Linked DNA regions of Mus musculus. The protein of the gene in region 1 interacts with the protein of each later gene in a pairwise test. Links are inferred from orthologs where the notes say so. Each region holds a gene or a part of one and is shown on either strand. Other genes may lie near its edges.

Region 1 (3,808 bases):
CTTACATGAGTAAGGTTCTTGAGAGCAGCATTTGTCTTAGGTACAAACAGTTGCATAGAAGACAGTTTGACACCTGTCAATTTAGGTAAAGAACAGCAGTAGGTTTCCCACAATGGTCTATGGCCTCCCTAGCCATGGATAAGCTCTTAAAAGTATTGTATACAAAATGATTTTTCAAGTCTAAAAGGTTTAAAAGTTTAAAAGGGTTTTTGCTAGTGAACACTTAGTTTATTTGCAATTTTAAAAAATAGTTGAAGGGCTGAAGAGATGGCTTAGCAGAGAAAAGCACTGGTTGCTCTTCCAGAGGAGCCCAGTTCGGTTCCCAGTACCCACAAGGAGGTAGATAACCATCTGTAACTCTAGGGGATCTGGCACCCTCCTCTGGAGACAGCAGGTACTGCATGCATGTGCTAAAGAGACGTGCAGGCTAAACCCTCTACATTTAAAATACATTAACATTTAAAAGATTAGTTGGTGTTTATATATAGTTGTTACATAACATAAAATCTTTTCAATCCAGTAAGAAATCTGCACAGTTAGGATTTTGGTCGGGGAGAAGAAAGCTTTTATTAGATCTTTAAGCTTACCAGTTTAGATTATAGTATCTTTTTATTGTCTCTATAGATACTTTTAGTGGAAATGTAGATTTTAATATGTATAATTTGTGAAGCAATTAAAAATACAAATATGTAGATCTTTTCCTTGAATATATCTAGCTAAGAACTAAGCAACAACTAGTAAGTTAAAAACTACAGGGCTTGAGATGTCGCTCAAGAGAAGAGTCCCTCCTAGCATGGGTGAGGTCCCAGGTTTATCCCAGCAAATGACAAAAATAAAATAAACTGGAGCCTAAATTTGAAAGCTTAAAATTAATTCTAATTTTTGAATTAGAAGCTGTCCATTTTTTTATGTGACTTGTTTAGATTTTAAGTAACAAACACTCTTACTGATCTGATATCTAACATTGTATTAACAATAGAATGAGATGCTAGTAGAATGGAAGACAGGTGAAGTGTAACATTAATAAAAAAAGTAAAAATATCCTCTTACTTTAATTTTATATCTTTCCATATGTAGGATCATTACTTGGGATATGCTATTTAGTGGAAAGAACATTAATTAGTTTATATATAGATCATGTGTGTGTGCTTTAATCTTTATTTTAGTTTATGAATATAAGCTAAAATATTTTTATAAATTTTAACTGTTTGTATTTTTATTATCTTATAGGAAAGAAGCAGCGGACTTTCATGTAGACCATCACTCAAGACCTTTTTATAAGTAGGTACTCAGCTTGGGGACTAAAATTATTTTCTTTATACTTTTAATAGATAAGACTTTTTATATCCACCACTCAATACTTGAACCTTTAATCAGAAACAAATGGGTGACCTATTTGTTTTAAGAAACATCTCTTTTATATCTCATTGAATTAAAAGACCATGCTTGTAATTATATTTTATGTTGGCAATTTTGTTGTGCTTTTAAGGCCTTTATTTTTATATCTAGTATGGACAAAGCAGTAGTCACAAAACTAAATAAGGATATGTGTTTTGTTTCATTGGCAATGACTAATCATATATGTTAGAAACTGAAATCTATTCTAAGAATTTGGATGTAATTAAAGTGAAATGTGCATACTCACTGTCATGGACAAAGGAATGACAAATTCTAATAAAGACAATGAAATATTAGCCAATCTGCTACAGTAGACATTTTATTTGATATCATACATAGAAGAATAACTTTTAAAAAAGAAATATTTATAACAAAATTATTGTATATCATATCTTGTGAACTACCATATATTATAAAATGTTCCTAAACTTTGTTAGCATTATCATATACATTTGTTTGGCAATTATTCTTTGTTTTAGATTCTTTGTATGCTTTTATAATACTAAATTACAGCTCTTAGTTTAATATTGTCTATATAATTCATATGCAGAAAGTTTCAATGAATAAATTAGCTGGTTCTGTGGCACTGAGACTTAACAAATGACTAGCTAGAGAAACTGGAAGTCAGTCATGATCAGTATCTTCTCAGTAGCCCACCATTCCCTTAGTTGTCACATGCCACATTAGAGAATTCTGTGTTAATTGGATACTAGATTAGATTGTTTGAGGTTGGATCTTATTTTATGGCTTAGATTTTGACATGTGGATAATATTGATAATTAAATTCCTTCCTTCCTCCTTTCCTTCCTTCCTTCCTTCCTTCCTCCCTTCCTCCCTTCCTCCCTTCCTTCTTTCCTTCTTTCCTTCGTTCTCTTTTCTTCTTTTTGTTTGGTTTTGGTTTTGGCTGCTAAAGCCTAGCAGAAGTTTGAGGAGGTCTTGTCCTCTTAGCACTGTGGCTGTAGATACTTCCTTTTACATGCTATTTCTTGGAAATGCTCTACTACGTGAACTGCAGAGATTAGTGAAGGGCTCAGAAGCTTGTATTCCATGCAGCCCTAAGGCAATAGGCATGGGAAGGCCCGTACACTGCCTTCCTTTCTCTGAGAAGGCCCTGTCCTCTCTCTGGTTTGCCTCTCCTTTAGAAGGTAAGAGGCAGGACGTCACTTTATTTCGAGTTAAATTTATCGTTGCATCGCGTGCACATGAAGAAATAGGAAAAGAGAATGAAGCGTCAGCTTTCATTTCCAGGGAACTGGGACTCAGACATAAACTTCAATAAAAGCCGTGCGTCTGGTCCACCCCTTAGATATCATTACCCAGGCAGGTTTCCTCCTAACGAAGGCCTGTTTTTGAAGGCCTGTTGCCATTCTTTTTCTTTATCACACTGACTTAGAGTTGTCACTCTCTGCATTGCAGTAGTTACACACAACAGAATTAACTAAGTCCTTCTTGAGAATGTTACGAAATACCATGCTTGTCACTGCTGTTATAACATTCTCCCTGACTGCTGTGGTAAACTGTTAGGAAACTAAAATGGAATCAGCTTTGTCCTTCTTAGAGTAGTGGGGAATATCAGATCAGCCATGTGCATTTTACGTTGGCATAATCATCCAAATTCAACAAGTGTCTCCTTCCCTTCCAAACAGAAGTGACCTTGTCATATCTTCTGTAATGATTTTGTAGCAAACTCAGTCTCTGTAAGGCACTCCCCTTTTCCCAGAAACGGATCCCAAGCAGGCCAGTCCTCGAGCTTACTGATGTCCTAACATGTCTTCGTAGTCTAGCAGGTGTCTAGATTGTAGTAGAGAAGTAACTCGGGCTTTCCCCTGCTTCCCAGCGAACTGATCCAGTTTATCACAAGTGGGCCTGTTATTGCCATGGAGATCTTAAGAGATGACGCGATCTGTGAGTGGAAAAGGTTGCTTGGACCCGCAAACTCTGGGCTATCACGGACAGATGCCCCCGGAAGCATCCGAGCCCTCTTTGGGACAGATGGCGTGAGAAATGCAGCTCACGGCCCTGATACTTTTGCATCTGCTGCCAGAGTAAGTTGGTTTTGAGAAATATTTTCCTTCTGTTTTATTTGGGAATTTTTTGTGTGTGTCAAAGTAAAACGTTTCTCCTGCTGAGGACTTTGGGAGGTTTTGAACAGCTAATGTAGTAGTGGGAAACACCTGGTGACGGTTTTCTAGGATCAAATAGGGATTCAAAGCCATGCCCCCTTTTAAAATTAGTCCTGTTGGTTGCTGTTGTTGAGTGCAGTTTTCTCAAAATCTGACATTTGTTGCCACCCATCTTTCTGTAAAAGATTAAATTGCTGAGGCTCATGTTTGTGACTTAATTTAGCTAAGAATACTAGTTTATGGATCTATAGTAGATATTCCAAAGTGAGGTTTCATTTGAGTAGTCT
Region 2 (2,669 bases), on another chromosome or scaffold:
AGTGCCAGGTACCATCCCAGGCAGAGAGCTACATACCCCGTACCCCCACCCCAGCCCATGGCCCTGGGACAAGCGGGCCTGACCTTGTAGGGCATCTCCCCTGTGTGAGACACCATGTGCAAGCGCAGCTCCATCCTCCGTCGGAAGGTCTCCTGGCATACGGAGCATGTGAAGACCTGGCAGTGTGAGGGGCAAGCAGGGCCAGCATCAGGGAGGGCCTCTGCCTGCGACGGCAGCCTCTGCAGGGGCTTCCAAACGCTGCTGGTAAGTGTCTGCCTGGGGTAGGGGATGCTGGGGTAGGAGAGGGCAACATGTAACCTGCCTGCCTTGACCATCAGAGCACTGCACACTACCACACGCCAGACCCTTCTTGGCTTCAGACAGGCTAGAGACAGAGCCAGCTGCTACTGGCCAGTCTCTGGGAAGAGGATGACAGGGTTTAGCCAAACACTACCCACTTGGAGGGGCGGGGTGCCGACAAAGTGGCCCTTCCTGGCAGCCATCTCCCACAAATACTTTACTTGCTCCAAAGCATAAGATGGAGCTAGACCAGGAGCCCAGGCAGGCAAACCCAAAATATCCCTTGTGCCCTCTGAACTCATGTGTCCGGCAAGTACTAGGATGCGGACCTGCCAGGCCCCGCAGTTCTTATTTTATAATCCCGTAGGGTTTCCTGAGGATCCTTCCCAGATGGCATGAAGACACAGGCACTGTGCTGCTGCCCACAAATACTTGGACCAATTCCCAAGTACCTGTTCTGAGCGGTTCATGCAATTCCTGGCTTCATGTTCCAAGAGATTCTCCTTGCGGAAGTAACACTTCCCACATTTGGGACACTCGAAGGGTTTCTCCCCAGTGTGTTTCCTGCCAGGAAGAGAGGCCACAGAGGCGTGGGGGCTAAGAGGGTTTCCCAGCTCTCTGATCCTCCAGCTCTTGCCACAGACATGCTGTGCTCATTAGGAGGAAGAAGTGTCCTAAGTCTAGCTGGAGTTAACCATGTAGACTTAGCGACACCCAGCTTGCTCATGTAAGGGAAGGCTAGAAACCCCCTCCAGCTTAGAGAGCCTCAGGAAGAAATAGTAGCCATGGAAAGACAGCCAGGAGGGAGCCAGGAAGAGCCAGCCCTTCATCTGCCAGCCTCCCTAAATGGCTGCCTCAAAACTTCACTGACAAGACCTGGTTGACATCTTCCCCTCTGCGGACCCCACGTTCAACACCATGGCAGGACAGGTGATATGGCTCAATGCTCAGAAGCACTTGCTGCTGAGAAGCCAGAGGACCCAGGTTCAATCCCTGAGACACATGAGGTGAAGAAAACAACTCCCACAAGCTGTACACTGACGTCTGCACGTGACCCTCCCACACTCAGTAAAGAAGTAAATGTGGGACTCCACAACCAGATTCTGTGCGTCCATTTCACAGGTGCCAGCAAGGGCGTGGCTGGAGCAGTTCATGGAGTCCTTGAGTCACCACTGGTTCCTGGCTCCCTACCTATCTCTCCAGGAGGCTCCATTAAGTCCAGACTCTTTGCAGAAAAGGTGGCCCCTTGGGCTCACAACCTGCCAGTGCTTATTTTGTATTGAGAGCCCAGGGGGCAGAGGACATGGGTAGCCAGTGAACCAGCCTGCCCCTCACTGACCTTACCCCATGCCATGCCAACTCCAGGTCAGGCCCTACCACTCACAACAGCCAGCTAGCTCCTCTCCCAGCCAGAAGACTCTCACCAGTGACTGGCTTCCACACATCCTCCAAGTCTCCTAGCCTAGACGGGTGGCAGAGGCCGGCAGTGTAACCTCAGCCACTTGGTCTGGATCTTTCCCCCCTAGCATCCTGGGGACTGAACATGGGGGCCTCACCTGGCAGGCAAACAGATTAAGACTGATCTACAGCCGGGCGTGGTGGCACACGCCTTTAATCCCAGCACTCAGGAGGCAGAGGCAGACGGATTTCTGAGTTCCAGGCCAGCTTGGTCTATAGAATGAGTTCCAGGACAGCCAGGGCTACAGAGAAACCCTGTCTCGGGAAGAAAAAAAAAACAAAAGACTGAGCTACAGCCCATTCCCAGCTGCTCCAAGCTGAGGCAGAAGGATCATCAGCCTAGGCAATTTAGTAAGGCGTGTCTCACTACAAATGGGCTGGGGTATAGCTCAGTGGCAAAGACCCTGGGCTTCAGTCCCTAGCACTGAAGGTCACAAGGGAGGAGGAAGCACCCCACCTTCTTAATAAATAAATAAATACCACTAACCTTATCTATACAGTAGACTCCAATTCCCAGTTCCTCTGCCCCTACTCTCCTACCTCCCTAAACAGGGTGCCACACACTGAAGCCCCAACTGGCCTGGAACTCCCAAAAAGTGCAGGCTCAGGCTGTCTGCTTCATGCTAAAGTACTGCTTCCTTTCCTGCAAGACACAAGGCTTGCTGTACCTGTGCTGCATCCGAGCGCCATGAAGACCTTCATCTTCAAGGGCTACATCATCTCATCCCAAGTGCAGCAGCAGCTGAATAAACCAAACCAACCCTGACCTCAGCGCCATGGGTAGCACTGAGTCTCCTGTATGTCCGTCCAGAAGCCAAACCTACTCTCATCTTCTTCTCTCTAAGAATCCTCGCCCCCGTAGTCCCTGCCACTGCAAGGACCTCATTTTCTATTATTCTTTTGAGACACGG
Region 3 (3,500 bases), on another chromosome or scaffold:
GGACAAGTGCAGTCCTGGTGCTCAGCTACTTGGTTCAGCTGTTTGGAATGCACCAAAAATAGGGAAGATGTATAAGATAGGCCAAATTTTTGCATCTGTGTATGGTTTGCATGCACGTGCATATGTGTATTTACAGACACGTGAATGCATGCGCATGTGTGAGCGTGTGCATGTAGAAGGCAGAGCATGACATCAGGTATTTTTCTTGGTTGCTCTCTATCCTATTTACTGAGATTGCTTCACGCCAAAGCTGAGCTTGCCTAATTGCCGAGTCTTAACTAGCCATCTCTCTCCGTTGGATCTCTGAACTCTGGATTACACATGAGCCACCATTTTATATGGTTAGCTTTTCTATGAGTGCTACAAGATCTGAACAGTGGTCCTCAGACCTGTGCAGGAAGCACTACAGCCAACAAGCCATCACCCGAGGTCCATGATGTAAGAAAAATTTTAAACCTAGACAAGCTTTTGCCAGGCTGGCAAAATTGCTCAGTGGGTAAAGGCGCTTGCTGTCAAGCCTACCAGAATGGGTTTGATCCCTGGGACTCACAGGGTGGAGTCAGAGAGCCAGCTTCTGTAAGTTGTCCTCTGACCTCCATATGTATGTTCTAGCATGTGCCCCTCAAACTTCCACACATTCCATTAATCAATATGATTTTAAATATGAAAGACATACTGATATTCATGTACAGTGAGTGTTCTGAGAAGTTGGCCTACTGTTGTCAGAAATGGCTGACTTCCTTGAGAGATTTGAGATCCAGTCCAAATTTATAAGATCCAGATTTCTACCATGGTCCCCAGGCTGTTGCCTCTGTACGGTTAGTATTCCGTTCTGCAATGTAAACTTCTCGGAGTCAAGCCTTGGAATTTGCGATGCTGTATTTGTGATGCTGGAATTTGAGGTGCTGTAACTCTCTTGATGCGAATGGGAAAACGTGCGCACTCTCAGAGAGGCCGTGTGAGTGTATGTGCCATGTTCTTTGTGTCTGTGCCTTCAGCCTGCAGCCACCTGTCATGAGAAGGTTGTAAGTGTCTGGAAAGACCCCAGCGAGTCTCTCGGCATGACCGTCGGAGGGGGAGCATCCCACAGGGAATGGGACTTGCCCATCTATGTCATCAGTGTTGAACCCGGCGGAGTCATAAGCAGAGACGGGAGAATAAAAACAGGTACAAACTCAAGAGAATAAAGGCGCTGGGGTGGCAGAGCCTGGGGCGGAGCTAGGAGCTCGCTGTTGAGTTCCTTAATTGCTCTCCCAGAGTCAAGGAGAGCATGTCAGAGGGAACTGGCCATGACTGCTGTGTCCCTTTGAGCAGGATGAGCACGAGTGTAGCAGTAGTCTAGGCTCACCCCTCTTAGTGCATGGAAGTAGGCATGAGGCAGCTTTGCTAGGGAAGCTAGAGTCCCTGGACTTTCCAGGCTGAGCAGACAGCCACTACACCCATGAACAAGGTGCCGCTAAGGCACAATTTAGTTCCACGCAATCTAACAGCCCTAAGGATTCTGTGGATTGTACCATTTGGTGGGGCTAAATGGGGTGAATCTATTGAGAGATCTTGATTCAATGGTATAGTTAAATATCATTAGTGGGACTTTGTTCCTTGGTGAGAAATGGACCTCTCTTAGCCACTCATGTTCTGGGCTCCTCTACATAAAGGAAAGTACCCAGTTTACCTTGTGAGTACGTGTTCTCAATAACGCTGTTCAAGCACATGAAGAGGTCACCTAGGTAAAGGAACAGTTGTGCTTTTGAAGGGCTCAGATTTAAGACAGAAAAAAGTCTCTCAAATACATGCACTTGAGTGTGGCATAGTATATATAGGATTTAGGCAGACAATCAAAGGTGGTTTTTTTTTTTCTTTTTTCTTTTGTCTTAAGTCAGCAAGCATTTGAGGATACCCCTTGTCATTTTCCTCCTGACTACAATTATTCTGTGTGAAAAAAGATGATATATAAGAAGCAAGACAAAAAAACAAATAACAACAACAACAAAAACCCGAGAGATAGTTGAAAGACAAGCCATCGAGGGCAGGGAGATCCATCTTAAATTCTCCTGCTGCTCAGCAAGCACCCGGGGTGAAGAATAAGCTCTGACAAGAAGTGACATTGTAGCATGTCACATATAGAAGCAGTTTTGCACAGAGTAGGTGCTTAGCTAATGCGACACACAGAGATGTCTTGACTAGAAATGATAACTATACACCTCTGTGAAAGCTCAGGTTCAGGGCCATTCTTTATCTGCCCTGGGCTCCTGTGCCAGACACTAACTCCTGCTTCGGTCCCTGTTTGTACATAGCAGGCTCTCTGCGGGCACTGGAGCCTTATGCCAACTGCTCTCATTGTGTGCTCAAGAAACTAGGAAACTAAAAGAGTGAGATTGCAGCTTGTCTTTGGTTAAGTAGTCAAGGAAGCTATTTAAGTCAGGCAACAGATGAACGTCACTAGGCCATTGTTAGAGACTCCCAACAAGCCATTCCCACATGCTCTACCATCTGCTAAAGGGGACCCAGTCTCGTGTCTCTATGAGCTGAAGATATGCGCCTCTCCTCACCCTGCCCCTGTGCCCGGTCAGCCGCTGTCCTGTCACACGGAGCAGAATCCCATTTGCACTCAGTGAGGTTGCTTTTGCTTCTCTGGCCTCAGGTGACATTTTATTGAATGTGAATGGGATTGAGCTCACAGAGGTCAGCCGGACAGAGGCCGTTGCCATACTGAAGAGCGCACCCTCCTCAGTGGTACTCAAAGCCTTGGAAGTCAAGGAACAGGAGGCCCAGGAAGACTGCAGCCCAGCAGCCCTGGACTCCAACCACAACGTGACCCCGCCTGGTGACTGGTCCCCATCCTGGGTCATGTGGCTGGAATTACCACAGTGAGTCCCAATTCAACACCCCAATGGATTCTATTTCTTAATCCACTTTCACTGTCTTGGGCCAATTTATGGGCACTAGCATCTTGCTAGGACCCAGTCTTCTCTGTGGGACTGTTGGGAATAACTGTCTTCTGTTGGCAAATGAAAATCCCTATAGAAATCTTAGGGTAGAGGTGGAAGTCTAGAAAGAGAAGCTTCTAGATATTCTTGAAGTGTTTACAGTTACCAGATGGTTCATGTAGCAGGGGGTTCAGCTGACTGACAGACATTCAGCCTGTGTTTCCACACTCATGAGCTGAGTTGCATCTGCTCACACCAAGCTTCACCTTTGCATGGGTATGAGTGGGAGCTGCAGACCGGCTGTGGTCCTACTCTGAGGCTTCCAGAAGCTCTGACTATACGCACAGCAGCGCAGCAAAACATCATGGCTTCAGAGAGTTACGTGTCTGCTAGCTGGGGATGCTTCTCACAACATCTCTTTTCAGTGACTCCTCTTGGAAAGTCCTTTAGGAAGCAACTAGGGTACCATTTTTCTGAGGTATAGCAGGAGAGCTCCACAAAATGGCTCTGAACATGAACTGACTAGTTAAAATGGACAGATAAATTTGATGTTTGCTTCCTTGGACTAGAGCA
Region 4 (3,500 bases), on another chromosome or scaffold:
GAATTGAGTTGGGTCTTTTTCAGCAGCCTGGTCTTTGGTTTGGGGTTCGTGTGTGGAAACAGGATCTAATACTACAACTGGCTCAGCTTGGTTTTCACTGCCCACACATTTTCTCCTGTATCCACCTTTACTGGGAGGCCTGTGAGAAGAGAGTTAGATAGAAAAACAACTAAGCAGAAGAAAGAAAACATTTGGATTTCAGGTTCCTGGATTCAGAAAAATGACAACAGAAACGGTCCTAAGTCTAACCGACATGCACAACGCGTGGTCTTTGGGATGCCAGCCATTTGAAAAACAGAAAGCAGCAGCAGATATCCGATTACGTAATAGGAGCAGAAGGCCAGGAGAGAGAAGGCAGACAGAGTCAAAGCGATTAACTACGGAAGTAAAAAAATGCCAACTGCACCTACCTGCTTAATTGCTTGTTCCTCTAGGAAGTGCGCAGCCCCTGGCTCCATCTGCAATCCCAAACACTGCCCACGCTGCCTTTGTCCCACTAGCTCTTGTTCAGCTACAAGGAGCCAGCCTAGACCCCCACTCCCTCTTGCCCCCAGTACAGCTGTTTGCAGCTTAGCTGTGAAGAGGCTGCATAGAGAGAGCTGGGGATCATCTTGGCTCAGTGATGGACAGATGAGAGTGGCAGCCAGCTGTGCCCACCACAGCCATTACCACCCAGGAGGGAGACCTGACCTCAGGAGGTGGGTGGAAAAAAGGGCTGAGGAGAGCCCTCAGGGAATGGGGTCTGACGCACACCAAGTGTCCAGAAACTTCCCTAACCAGAAGAAAGTGGTTCTTGAGAAGTTTCTTTTAGAATTTTGCAAGTGGTTTTCTTTTCCTCAGAAGTTACCTCCCTCCTGATCCAAGAAGCTATTGTTTCTCATGCCAGGCAGGCAACAAAGTTTCCTTGTGGGAACCGAGGTATTCTTCATACTTACACTCTTGCCATGTGTCCCGAGTCTCAGAAGTAATGGTCAGCACCTACCCAGGGAAGGTTTCGGGCTGCTGGGCTTGTCTAGAGGGAATGCAGTAGCTGCAGTGTCAGGGCCACGGCTCTCAAGACTATTCTGGTCTTCCCAACCAATGGCCAATTCCAGGATGAGACTTTCACTCCAGAGAACCAACTGTGAGCCAGGACATGGAAGGCCTACCTGATATGTGACAAAGAGCTACTGCTTAGCACCTGCTCACTGACCTACCTGCCCCGGCCTTTGCCAGGCACTGATTTCCACTGGCCTGCCTTCTTGAGCAGGACAGATCATACGATAGCTCCTCTCACATGCAGTATTTCTCCTTTTCTACCCCCAGCACCCATGTAGATCATGTATACAGTAAACAAATGAACAAATAAATAACATCAGACTAAAGAAGACTCAGAGTGGAAGCCTGGGTGAGAACAGAGCTGGAAGTCTCATCTATACGTGGAAACAGAACAAGCCATCTATTATGGAAGGTGGCCTACGCTCACAAGGCATAAAAGCCTGAATTGGAAAACCACCGTCATAACCGCAAACTCTAACCAAATGCCTGCAAAGACATTCTCCGGCTGACAGGCCATATTAAAAACACGAGGGAAATGGCAGAAGGAAGGAGATCCTTAGGGACGGACATGACAGAGACCATGCTGTTGCTGTCTGTCTACCTTAGCCAATGAAACATTTCTCAAAACACCCGATACTCTGTCCTAGAGGTGGGATGGGGTGTCATTTCCTTGGTAGTACCTGTTTCAACTTTCTCCGGCCCAGGCAACATCTTACAGCTTCTCAGAAAAGCAGAGCCACCTTAGACTCTGGGCAACGGAGGGCACTGTGCGAGTCGGCCATCTCTATGCAAGAAGCTAGGCATTCCGGCAGCTCAAAGGCAAGCTGGCTGCAAACGGGCAGAGACTGAGGACAAACTAGAGATGCATCTTTCTGTGAGAAAGGCCCATCAGGCTGATGTACCGACCCCACAGGACAAGCTGAGCCCTCTCACGCGGAACCTGCACATGCATCTGAGCTGGGAAGCGGGCTGGGAAGCGGGCAAGCTGGAGGAAAAGCTGGGAGGAACCGCAGGACTGATCCACAGGCCAGCCGCTGGCACATGCCCCTCAAGTGGGTCAGCACATCGTGCCCTTCATACGCTATCCCAGATAAGCTACACATGAACTTCCTCAGGGTTCAAAGAAAACATTATTAAAACATCATCATCTCACGCCTGCCTCATACATCTCTCTTGTGGCCAACGAGAACCTGGAAACAAAGCATATGGGGTGTCCCAGGAAGTGAAGCTGCAGCTTGGCTCAGGGTCGGGTCACCAGCTTGCTTGTGCGCCCGCTGCTGTCACCCACCAGCATGTTGGAAGCATGCAAAGCGATGGATCTCACTCTGCCGTTTGGAGTGAGCAACTGCCATCGGTCCATACCAACCTCTGTTGCTCCCTTGGGCTACTGTGGGCGTTTTCATGGCCCCGTGTGTCTGCAGGCGAAGGGTGGTTAACATCTCCTAGCAAAAGCTGTCTTCATCAGCTGGGAATTAGAACTCTCCAGGAACTGCTCTCAGCATCCTATGGCAGCAACACACAGGCTGATTGATCTGAAAACTTAAAAACCTTGGACTGTCTATCTCTCCTCAAGCAAGCCACACTCGTCTGGCAGGCTAACCTGAGAAGTTGCTGGCAGGCTAGCTCCAGGATCTCACAGTTTCCTCCACTGAACTAGGCACGGTGGAGACTAGGCAGGGGGGCACTCCCTTGGAACCCCAGGGCAAGACAGAAGAGAGTAAGAGCGGCCATCTATCCAAACTGCCCTTTTGTAGATGGGGGCAGTTCTGTGTGCAGAGGGGGACAGCCTGGCCTAAGAGTACGCTGCTCCTGAGTGGCAGAGCCAGTGCAGGAGTCTGAGCTGTCTTCTCTTTAGGATTGAGCTATTTTCCAAATATAGCACAGGTGCCACAGCGTAATCTGTGGACATTTCTACTAGTTTATTTCCATTGTTTCTATCTGCAACTTTCAGATCAATGCTGTCTTTCAGAGGACAATGCTCAATGCTCAAGCTTCCTGGTTTGATATCACTAGGTCCTTTCCTAGGTCTCCCGGGGACCTTCTCAAAGCTCCTTTTAGAGCCTGAAGCCTTCTTAGAACATTCCATCTCTATCCCCATGATGCCACTGATGGTAAAGTTGCCAGGAGACAAGCCTCAGAGTATGCCTGTGGAGCAATTATTTAGACTAAGTTAATGAGGGAAGGCCCACCCTGAATGTGGGCAGCACCATTCCCTAGGCTTGTATCCTGGACTGAATATTAGAAAGAGCTGACTTGTAGCATTCACTGTCCTCTGATTCCTGAGTATGGATGCAATGTGCATGGCTGCCTTGACCTTTAGCTATCAGGTTTTCCCTGTCACAGTGGACTAATGCACTGTCACACTATCAGCACAAATTAACCCTCTCCACCTTAAGATGCCTTTGTTAAAGTATTTTTATCATAGCAACAGAAAAGGCAACTAATACATTCCCAATCCCATG

Evidence for each region. The genes of interacting proteins can lie anywhere in the genome.
Region 2: the proteins of Nme7 (region 1) and Zbtb48 interact in binary tests that used the Homo sapiens proteins (3 or more experiments, as listed by UniProt). The two-hybrid records come from large-scale screens. The link is inferred for Mus musculus from reciprocal best matches to the Homo sapiens genes NME7 and ZBTB48.
Region 3: the proteins of Nme7 (region 1) and Lnx1 interact in binary tests that used the Homo sapiens proteins (3 or more experiments, as listed by UniProt). The link is inferred for Mus musculus from reciprocal best matches to the Homo sapiens genes NME7 and LNX1.
Region 4: the proteins of Nme7 (region 1) and Shtn1 interact in binary tests that used the Homo sapiens proteins (3 or more experiments, as listed by UniProt). The two-hybrid records come from large-scale screens. The link is inferred for Mus musculus from reciprocal best matches to the Homo sapiens genes NME7 and SHTN1.

What each region holds. Positions count from the first base shown.
Region 1 is NC_000067.6:164,341,984-164,345,791, forward strand, and holds part of Nme7 (nucleoside diphosphate kinase 7), read left to right. Parts: intron 1-1,230; coding exon 1,231-1,281; intron 1,282-3,235; coding exon 3,236-3,443; intron 3,444-3,808. UniProt on the Homo sapiens protein: Possesses an intrinsic kinase activity. Displays 3'-5' exonuclease activity with a preference for single-stranded DNA. Does not seem to have nucleoside diphosphate kinase activity.
Region 2 is NC_000070.6:152,021,944-152,024,612, forward strand, and holds part of Zbtb48 (telomere zinc finger-associated protein), read right to left. Parts: intron 865-2,669; coding exon 753-864; intron 292-752; exon of another isoform or gene 177-291; coding exon 84-176; intron 1-83. UniProt on the Homo sapiens protein: Plays a critical role in transcriptional regulation and chromatin remodeling. Acts as a regulator of telomere length. Directly binds the telomeric double-stranded 5'-TTAGGG-3' repeat.
Region 3 is NC_000071.6:74,605,404-74,608,903, reverse strand, and holds part of Lnx1 (E3 ubiquitin-protein ligase LNX), read left to right. Parts: exon of another isoform or gene 1-998; coding exon 999-1,167; intron 1,168-2,641; coding exon 2,642-2,867; intron 2,868-3,500.
Region 4 is NC_000085.6:58,975,070-58,978,569, forward strand, and holds part of Shtn1 (shootin-1), read right to left. Parts: intron 2,542-3,500; exon of another isoform or gene 2,405-2,541; intron 140-2,404; coding exon 1-139. UniProt on the Homo sapiens protein: Involved in the generation of internal asymmetric signals required for neuronal polarization and neurite outgrowth.